Drosophila melanogaster: one gene and its partners. The protein of the gene in region 3 interacts with the protein of the main gene of each other region in a pairwise test. Each region holds a gene or a part of one and is shown on either strand. Other genes may lie near its edges. The genes, in order: CG33191, dati and CG30324.

Region 1 (3,759 bases), on a different chromosome or scaffold from region 3:
GCCTCGGTTTGTTGATGGCGGGAGTTGGGGTCGCTGTCGGAATGTCGCTCATGCTGCATGTACATCAGAGCCGGGCATTCTGTGGATGAAATGTTTGGGATAAAATAAATATCTAACAAGGATTTTATACATCAATTCAGGTAAAATAAGAATCTGTTAATAGCCGGCCTTCTGTAACCCTTCAAAAATTCTTGGCTACTTCAGGTTTCTTGCAAACATCTTGACTTGCACGATATTCCGAAACATTGAGCCTTAGCCGCTTACATAAGGTAAACGACATAAGTATGCCTTAAAAAATCAAATCCGTAAACAGGATTTAAAATGTGGGAAATTTCAATAAAGAGAAGTGATTACAATTGACATATAATAGAAGAAAACTGATCAGCAGGAAAGTTAGCACGCTTACGATATTGTGGCGGCTAAGGCTCGAAAATTCGAGCACTCTTAACCGATACCGAACCGATTCCTAAAACCGTTTCAACTCGATTCCCCGGCTAGAACACACATAATTCGATTCGATTTGATTCGGTGAGCAAACACATTTTATTCGATTGGATGGCTCGTGGGTACGAGCAGTTCCTTGATCTCATTGAGTTGGATCTCGCGACCCCGCGTGATTTCCGGACGGGACCACATTTCAGCGTGGTACAATTCTAAGAACTTGGCCTCCGCCTTTTCGCGGCACGGACAAAAATCGAAGTAGGAGGTCTGGCTGCAGACCTCCCGATCCTCGAACTTAGTGAAGATGGTGCCGCGCTGTACGCATCGGCAAACCTTGACATTGGTGTGCTGCTGGTTTGGGGCAAAGGAGCGTTGCTTCCACGGACACATGCAGCAGCCACAGTTGCCGGGACAAAACACATTGCCTTCCTCGTCCATAATAGGACTGGGATCGAAACGGCACGGCGAACAGTTGGAGAACTCCTTGTTTTGAGGCAGGGCAAGGTAGTACCGCTTGCTTCCCGGCGATCTTTCCGGCGGCGGCGGTCCCATTTCTTCTTCCGGCTGCGGTCCTAACATCTCCTGCTCGCTAGACAAGAGCTCATCGGATTCATCCGACTCGGTGATCGGGTGTTCCGGCTCTGGAGCATAGATTATCAAGTGCTCCTTCGGGGCCGTTGGTTCTATCTCCACCAACGGTTCTTCAATTGGCAGTGGCTCAGGCACTGGGGTAAGAGTGAGCTCTGATTCGATATCCGGCAAGGTCAGGCAGGAGATTGAGATGACCTCCCGTGCCCCCGGGTCGTGCCAGCGGCAACATGTGGCCGGAGTGCAACGGTTACACTGAGATGTTGAATCCCCACAGCTTCCTATGTATACCGAACTGGCGGACCCTTCGGCTAGCTGTTGCGATGCACATGGACGAAAGTGTTTGCTGGCGGATTTACCTGAGCTGGGCTTTGGAGCCCTTGGACCGGAACGCATATACTGCTGCGAGCGGCACTGGCAGATGGACTCTTTGCGATGCCTGGTGACCGGTTGTTTCTTTTGCTGACACTTGACCATCTTGCCGCTCTGCGGATTGAACTCCAGCGGCATCTGGACGGTGACGGGCTTTCCGTGCAACGGACAACCAGCGCGACCCTTCTTGGGGTCCACCAACCGAGCGGTCAACTCCAGGGTGACGGCACATGGCTGATTCCAACCACCTGACTTGTCAAAATTCTTGAGTAGCATCTGTGTGGCATTGGCCGCCCGTTCCAGGGCATCCCGTATCGCAGCCGGATCATCGAACTTGCACCGGCTGGTGGCACTACGGCCCTCCTTTGGCGAGTCCTCACCCGGACCTTGACAGTCGTAAAATAAGTCCTGTTCGCTGCGCGTCTGCTGGAAGTTTTCGCCTACGAAAAGCAGTCGGGTGGAGTCCAATCCGCGACTCAATGTCATGGAGCTCTGGTTAACGAAATGACTCCGGGAGTAGTCACTCCGAGCGATGCTTGGATCGATGGGCTGATTAGAGAATTCCTCGTCCATCACGCTTAAAGAGCTTGAACTGTTTTCCCCAAATCAAGCTCTGAACTCACATTAAATTTTAAAGTGTGTGTTGCCTGCTCGATTGTGTCTAAAATACTGATACCAAATGGAGCACAATAGTGACAGTATTGAAAACGTGACCTCACTGGCCTGCTAGTAACTCCTATGAATTTTCGATTTTCCTACGCTGTTCTATGTGTGGTGTAGCCAAAGCAAAGCGAAAATTTATAAAGATACCCAACATACCCAGCAATTACCAGTGAAAAAAATGCATTTCCCAAACATAATCCAATTTAGTCACCAATGAATTTTGAGAAAAAACAACTAAGTGAGCAAGACGTGGCTCTTGATAAGTTTAAAATTTACGTGTTTTGATTAGGTTCCTGGCAATCGGGACACACTTCATCCTTGTTGGACCACTTTACACTCGATCTTCTGCTCTTCGACTTGTTCTGATTTCCAGGTGCATTGCATCCACAAAATGTGCCAATTGACTTGGGCTGGAAGATGTTGACTTTGACCTGGCCGCTTTCCGGATTCAGTTCGATTGGCAGCCTCAGGGTCACTGGGTCGCCGATTAACTTGCACTGCCTGTCCTTGGGGCAAGGACACTTGTCGTCCGTATGTAGACGGGCACTGACCTCCAGGGTGGCCGGATAGAAAAGTGTCATCAAAGGACGAGTTGGCACGGAATCAGTGCCTCCGTAGCACCTTAGCAACCGCTGGGTGGCAGTGGCTGCCCGCTCCAAAACGGCCCGAATCTGGACAGGATCGTCAAATCGAGGCGCTTGCTTGCAGATCACTTCATCACCACCGCCCACTTCCAGATCTGGAGTCTCCTCGTCGTCACTGCGGCAGTCATAAAAGATGTCTAAGTCCTCAAACTCGCCAATCATAATGCTCAACGTTTAAACAATTTGGATTAATCTGATGCCGTTACGAATCTGCCGATAAAACAGTCTACTCTATACAAAGACAATAATCTCAGAGAACTATTGATGTTGAATTATAATGTTCCTGGTTAGCTTCCTATAATTAGATCTAATCTGAAGATCTTATACACGGCAACCTTCAAGGAGACCGAAATAAGGGTCAGTCACTTGGTAATTTACATTTATGTTTGGTGTATTTACATAGAAATAAAGCTCTATTTCTTAGCTCTGAACAAGGTGGAATTGCTCCTCTCCACGGGAATGTAGACAGTGCAGCAGAACTCCGATTCCGCCTTGTGGTTATGGAAGAGCAGAAGTCTTGTGTGGATTCGCTGCTCGATTTGTTGCAAAAGCGCCGAAGATGCAGGCTTAAGGGCCAACTTTAGGTTATGGACACAGTCCAGAGCAGCCACAAATCCTTCATAGCTCTCCTGCGTCTTCTGAGTACTCTTTTCAATCCACATGTCTTGCAAAAATTCAAGATGCTCACGGAAATCCTCTCCGCCCTCCCATAAGTGAAGAAGACGGGTCCGGAATGCGGCAACATCGAGGTATCCGTCCACGGCGCCCTGAATCAAATCCACGAAGCACCTGGTTCTCAGAGGCATCAGGAGCAGTCGTTGCTCCACACCCACATCGACCTGTGTTCCACACTCAATCGTCTCTGGTTGAACTTGCATCTCCTTTTCATTGCACTGTGTCGTGACCTGAACCTCCTCCTCCAGGGTTTTCACCTCGTCCGTTTGTACAAATGACACGCTGGCCAGAGATTCCCAATTAAGATTAACAACTTCAGCGTGAAGGGAGTGCAGGGAAATTCCGGATCTGGCCGAGTGAACCGAGTGAACTGACA
Region 2 (3,759 bases), on a different chromosome or scaffold from region 3:
GGACAGTTTGAGGTAAGCGTGACCGGGTTTGACGTGCGTAATTGAGCCAACCTAACAACACGTTTTCTGAGCACAAGTTCTCAGCTTAACCAATTGAGTCAAGTGAGTTTGAACATTTGGTATGCTCGGTCTGTCCTTGTATTTAGCTGTACACTGTAAGCCCATTTTTAAGACCGCGGGACCCTAGGTTTTGCCTAAAGCTCATGCGTAGCTGTCGACCGATTGAACCTTAGATTATGTAGATATGTATGCGGATTGACTAGTTGTATTTAGACTGACTTGATAGAATTTCGGGTTTATGATCTCTTTTATGAGATGATGTGAATGCGACTTCATGGTAGCCTTGTCTACTATCTCACCAAAAGGCGTCAAAGTCCTCTTCGATCACTATCCAAGATAGCAGCCAAATACCAAAAGATACTATGTACTATACTATAAGGTATTTATCAATCATGTACGACTGCTGTAAAATATATCTATGGGAATAGCACATAATTTTCAACAAAAAAATAGTGGGTTTCCTGTAATTTTTTTTTACTGAGCATGTGTATACTTTTAAAACAATATTCAAATTTGCAAGAAGATATTTATGTACATACATATACCCTAGGTATCCGCTTTTTTCCACGCCACGAATTGTTGCGAATGCATGCATGTATGTGTGTACATAAATAAATATAATATTAAAGAAAATCGATAGAGGTCGATTCCCACAGACCAAAGCACAGACCAAAATCGATTGAGCAGCAGAGGTGGCGGCTAACGTTACCTAAATATGTACATATGTATATGCTGCAGCATACACGGCTGCACATTCATTTTGAAAAGGTAGGGTTCAATAGTGTTTTCCGGATGCCTATGTGCTTTGCGAGCCGCCCACTTGATTGTGTACGTGTTTGTACATAAGAACTTCACATAAGCATTAAAATGCATACTGCCGCACCGTGACGAAGACCAGAAATGCAGCCATATCGCACATACATGCACAAGTGCAGCGCAAAACTCGAGCTAGACAGAAACAGTTGGCTGGCTGTCCGGCGGCGGAAGGGAGATGGCTGAACGTGGACAGAAACAGGAGCTGGGCAGGGGTAGTAACAGGGCCAGGAGGTGCCAGAGAGGCCTTGAAGTAGACATTAAATCATGCACAAATTTGCATTCCACCGACCAGAACGGACTGTGCTGTGGTTGCAGCAAGACAGCAGGGAGGAGGTCGGTTTGCTGGGTGGTTGCAGTGGTCATCACGCTGCAACGCTGCCATAAGGGATGTTACTGCGGAAGTGCAGCGCTGACGGGACCCGACGACCAACGACGAGTGCAACAGCCCCCCTCCGCCTGCTTGTTTGAGAGTTATCAGTTGGAGAGGGCGGCGTAGGGGATGATGCAACGAAAACGCATATGAAAGCGGCATGGGCCAGACATACATATATGTTGTACACTGTACGCACACAGACTCACGTGGAGTGAATGGGCGCTGGGCAACAATAGCATGCAGCTTAATACACTTGAAAAAAAGACCAGAAAGCCATATCCCGCGCCTTAGACGGAGAAGGGAACGGGCAGGGCTAGACAGAGACTAGAGGCCTCATCAGGTCATCCCTACAAGGTGTAATTGAGGAGCAATAAGAATATCAATAAGCTCTCCGAGCTTAAGAATTGTAATTCAGGAATTGGTGCTTTATTGAAATTTTTTTATTCAATTTTTTTTTGAGTGTAGAGCTGCAACTGCAAATGCTGAAACAACTGCCACTGCAACTGCAGTTACCAACAGCGCCGGCGCTGGCACAGGTTCCCTGTCCGAGTGCAAGGATCTGAATCCACATCCGCCGCTTTCGCTGTTGTTGTCGCTCCCGCTGCTGTCACTTTTTGTTTAACACACAATTTTTATCTTATAATAAGCACACCGCTGCTGCCAGCTATTTCCCCAATTCGGCACCCGGCTGTCTCCATCCCAGTCTCCAGCTTGGGAAGCAACGTATGCCGAGGCGATGATTTTTATTCTCAATTATTTTGGATGCGGCATTCAGAAACGCAATATTCCATGGAGTAGAACAACCGACTGCGGATCGTCCTGACCTCGCGGATCATTTTTATTTTATCAAATGTGCTTAAACCAGATATAAAATGATTGTGGACTGTGCTAAAAACTAAAAACTAACCAAATAATAGAGTTGTTTGATAAAAAAAAAAAAACAAAGCACAAATGAATTGCTTGGCAATGCTTACTTGGACGATTTCATTTGTGTTTTACTGAATTCAGATGAAAATATGAAAACAATATTTCTTTTAATTTAATTTCAGATCATCATAATTTTAACAAACACAATAGACCAAAAATCGTTTTTAACAATAAAGAAGAATCCGTAACTAAACGATCAAATCGACAAACCTAACTCAACCCAGCCATCTTTCAGTTTTAAACGCAATAGAACAGATGCATTAATTAACTAAGTTTTCTACACCTATTACCAAAAAGGAAGAACCACATCAACATTAACTTCATCACCAATCCGAAAAATAACATCTAAACCAATATAACCTAACATAAAAACAGACCAACGAGAAAACCCATTTAAAAATTACTTTTTAGACAAATGAAAAATATAATTTACAACAAAATTGAAATCAAAAGTACAAAACGACATTAATGAATGCGCAAAAGAATTATAAATTTAATACAATATAAAACTGTATGTTTTAGTAACGATTACGTGAAGATTTAAGTCCAAACTAGGCTACTAATCGAAAATATGATTACGTGAAGATTTAAGTCCAAACTAGGCTACTAATCGAAAATATGATTTATATGATTTACACAAATGTGTACATAACCATATAGTCATTTAAATTGCATATATAGTCTCTTAATACTAATTTAAACAGTATATAATAAAACATTTAGATTTTCTACAGCTACAAAATACACTCCCTGAATGATTACCGAAGACACACTGACACCGGAACAGACAGTTTGAACTATCACATACCCTACAGCTAGCCCTAGCATAACCATACGTAACTATACACCAAGTCGCTTATTATTTTTTAATGATAAGAGCAATACTCAAAAAATAATAGTATAGATACATGATTAAGCGTGAAGAGATAGTGGTTATTATAGTAAACAGTACGTAAAATAGTATATAAAATTAAAGATATTGCTACTATAAATAATCAAAATATCATTCTTCGGTAATATAATGGACGATATTTTAAACTAAATATTCGTTTAAGTTACAAATGTGAACCTCGAATTATTTTAAAATTGGAATATATCATATTATATTTTTATATGTATATTAAATTATGAGACGTCACAATGCGTACATATGTAGGTATTTCCGAACAATACAAATCTGGGCATCAAAATAGTAGATCGTATCGGGTAACAAATTGTGATTCAAACGTTTACAAAATTTTTAAATTTATATGTAAACAAATTCAAATAGAAACTGCATCAATCTAACTCCATGTTTTGGGATAAATAGGCGATAAATGAATTTTATAACCAATATATCGCGACACCGTAACGTGTGCCTTATTCCGGCCTTAAGTTTAAATGACTTTTAATAATACATCAAAAACCTAATTCAAGTATATATTAAGCCCACGGACATTCAACTGCAAAGCCGTCGCACGTAAAAAGTCAATAGGATATAGGATTTTCTAATATAGGACCATTACCTGATTGGTATGCCGCCCATCACCTGCGACGTAACCGTCATCGTACTGTAATCGCCTGAGAATATGTTTGTTTTCAAG
Region 3 (3,307 bases):
CTGATAGGTGGCCACCGCCTTGGCCGCTCGATCGATGCTCGTTTTCATGGTGAGCTTCCATTCCGGATGAATGTTATCGTTGGCATAGCGAGATTCCTTCAGATTGTCAGTCAGCTGGGCAAACTTTTCCGGGTTCTTGTGCTTCATGGCGTACGCAAAGCCATGGAACCTTCCCAGGTAACTCACGGCAATCATGGCGTGCTGCAGACTCAGACCCACACGATCCTTGGTGACCCGCCATCCCTGCTCCGCGAAATTCTCCAGAATGGCCACAGCCGAATGCTGGTTCAACTCGCCGTAATAGTACTTGGGTGCGGCAAACTTGCCATCGGTGAACTTCTGAAACTCTGGCAGAATTTCCGTATAGAAATTTATCTCGTTGGTAAAAAGGGGCCCAAACTGTATGGATTCATACATTTCTGGTGGCATAGCAGGTGTTTTCTACAAAAAAAAAAAAAAACAATTAATTATTGGTATTCTGGGGTCATTGCATGCCAAAGTAAACTTCATCATTAGATGTGATTTATTTTGAATTCAAAATCAATTCGCTTTGTTCTTTTGTTGAGATGCCTCCCTCTATTTCACAATGTTTGCCATAAAACCCACACTCTCACTAAGCTATCTGAGTTTGCTGGAAAACAAAACTGGTAAGTAGTACGCAGTTAAGGCACTTATATAATATAATTTAAATTCCGCGAGTATAGTAAATCTTTTCGTTGTGTTTTTAGATATCCAGATAGATTGTTTAAGATTTATTTATACTATGTGAATGGAATAAACCTACCTTAACCACCATTTTTCGCTGAAACTTTTGCCCGTCGTATTCAAAATTAATGGTTGTCCGGTAGCAAAAAGTTAGCATAAAGGCCTCCGAGTGGCCAATTACATCAATGTCGATGTCCCCCACATGGAATGTGGTCACCTTGGACTCGCTGTAGTTGTCCACCAGGCGCCCGTTCCTCAGAATTGACGGAAGAACCGTGTATCTCAGCCATTGCCTCTCAGCCTCGATCTTCTCCATTTCGTCGGTACTGACGATCCCAACCGCTTCGCTTGTGGATAGCGAATGAGCATAAACCATTTCATATAGCTCATTTTGTACTACTCTCCAAAAGCTCATTCGTTGTTAGAGATTACACGATAAGAGCGAATTGGAAATGAAAAGCTTTCTAATCATTAAAAGCACTTTATGGTTTATAGAGAAGCAGTACCTACCTAATGATTAGCATGATGCAATTTGGCATGTTAAAATGATATGATAAGATATCATGACGCAAAGATAGGGGGATACGCTATTTATTAGTTTTAATTAGTTTTTTTTTTTTGTTTATTGTGTGCAAAGTTTAATGATTCCTTTGGATTAAGTTCTATTTTCCATAATCACAGGTATCGATATATTTTTAGTCAAAATTTCCAGTTTTAGAAAAAGCTATCCTACCGTTGCAGTTCGACTATCGACCAACTACCAATGGGCCTCAACTGGTATTTACTCAAAACGACCGGGTCAATGACCAGGGCCAACACCTACGTTCGAAAGTTCACGAATGGATCGCAGCAAAGTCGAGATATCAGCATGCCATCCAAAGTGCCAAAGAGGACAAGTGCTTCGATCAGGATCACGGATTTGGATAACATGTCATATATGTCCTCTTCTTCGCGAAAAGGCAAAATAACGAGCGGCCGACACGATCAGTTGAAAATGTCGAAGAATGCTCAACACGACGATGTCGTCTGTCCAATGCAAGCGAGTAGGAAGCCCATCGAGGAGCCCACTGTTCGGGATTCGCCACAAATGCGCGAGTTCTTCGAGGAAGTGCGTCAGCGAAAGCTCAAGGATTACTATCTTCAGATGAAGGCTGCACAAAGAAATCCAGCGATGTCCCATGTGTGTCCGGATTGTGGTTTTGTGAAGCGGGATAAGAAGGATCTCAGCAAAAACATTTACTGCACGGGGGATAAACGATTGAGGATAAAAGATTGTGATCGGCATGGGGATCTCACCTGGCTGTGGAACTCCTCCGCTGCATATCCTCACTCTGCACTTAGTTGTGGATGCAGCAGAGGTGTCTCCAGCCACTTGGAAACTTTAATCAAGCTGCACAATATAAAATGTTTAATTTAAAATTTGTAATTTTTGATATCTAGTTGCCAAGGAGTTTGCTGATAATACATCTGTTTTTCTCCGATATTTAGTTTCATTCTGCAATCCAAATCGTTCGTACCTTTCCGATTTGAACCCCACTCTTTCCACAATGTTTTCCGATCCCGCCCAGGAGTCGGTTGCCACGCAGACGGAGGCACAACCGGTTCCGTCGCCCATCTGCACCCCACTGCTGATGGTGGACGAGGATGGACGAAAGCGGTACTGCTACCATGGTGGAAAATGCAAGTGTGCCACTTGCGCACAAATTCGTGCAGAGCAGGCAGTGAAACTCGACCAGGAGCTGCTGTCCTACATACCGCACTCGAAGCTCCACCTGGAAGTTCCAATCCGAATGGCCAAGCCGAAGCAGTATCGCCTGGAAGCTCGACGGGCTACTCCCGAACTGGCAAAATTTCTGCGGGAGGATCACGAGAGGCTGAGGGCGGAGTATCCATCGTACTATCTCCCGGATCGATACTTTGGTAAGAAATTCTACGAGTTGCCAGGACCGCAGCACAAGGAGACCCAGACGGACATTCCGATTGGGCGTTACGGCATCGATGGTTGTCCCTGTACCAATAAATCGCTCTGCTATGACTTGTAATCCTGGGCAGGACTCAATTGGGGAAAAAAGAGTTTAATAAAAGTTCGGAATGTGAGAAGTATTTGCATGTTTTTCAATAAATCACTATAGTTAATTTCCCCGACTATCACATACCCATTACTCAGCTAGTAGGTGTGCAAATTAAATTTAATGTAAATAAATTGATTATCACTTATGATAATAGTTATGATACTCCTATTTCTTGGGTAATTTGGAATAGAAATCCTCCAGGAAATCCTTTAATATCAACTTGAACTTTTCGCCGTGCTTGGCCAATAGCAACTTGGCCTCACTGTCCTCATTGTCCAGCATCTCATCCGCTTCCTCCAGCACCTGAAGGTAATGCAGCCAAGCCGTTTCCAATCCCATAACCTGCTCAAATGTTTCCTCGCTAAGCTTCACCTGGTATTTGTGCAGCAGAACGAAGAGTTCCAGCATCGGAGTAAATGCGGACTGCTTCACTGGCACATCCTTCAGGAGTTTTTCAAAGAGCTGTTTGGCAGCCACCGTTTCACGGATGGTACGAGGAACCTTCATCACATTACGCTCGTTGCGTCGCA

Evidence for each region.
Region 1: the proteins of CG30324 (region 3) and CG33191 interact in a two-hybrid assay, tested with the Drosophila melanogaster proteins (one large-scale study listed by BioGRID).
Region 2: the proteins of CG30324 (region 3) and dati interact in a two-hybrid assay, tested with the Drosophila melanogaster proteins (one large-scale study listed by BioGRID).

Annotation. Positions count from the first base shown.
Region 1 is NT_033777.3:8,777,863-8,781,621, forward strand, and holds CG33191 (uncharacterized protein), read right to left. Parts: upstream 2,062-3,759; 5' UTR 1,975-2,061; coding exon 544-1,974; 3' UTR 517-543; downstream 1-516. Other genes in the region: Pif1B (PFTAIRE-interacting factor 1B), read right to left, coding at 1-65; Pif1A (PFTAIRE-interacting factor 1A), read right to left, coding at 65-79; CG33189 (uncharacterized protein), read right to left, coding at 2,337-2,870.
Region 2 is NC_004353.4:393,862-397,620, reverse strand, and holds the start of dati (datilografo), read left to right. Parts: upstream 1-2,015; 5' UTR 2,016-3,759.
Region 3 is NT_033778.4:16,287,086-16,290,392, reverse strand, and holds CG30324 (uncharacterized protein), read left to right. Parts: upstream 1-2,159; 5' UTR 2,160-2,252; coding exon 2,253-2,747; 3' UTR 2,748-2,807; downstream 2,808-3,307. Other genes in the region: JhI-26 (juvenile hormone-inducible protein 26), read right to left, coding at 1-441, 785-1,021; CG30099 (uncharacterized protein), read left to right, coding at 1,469-2,122; CG9068 (uncharacterized protein), read right to left, coding at 2,943-3,307.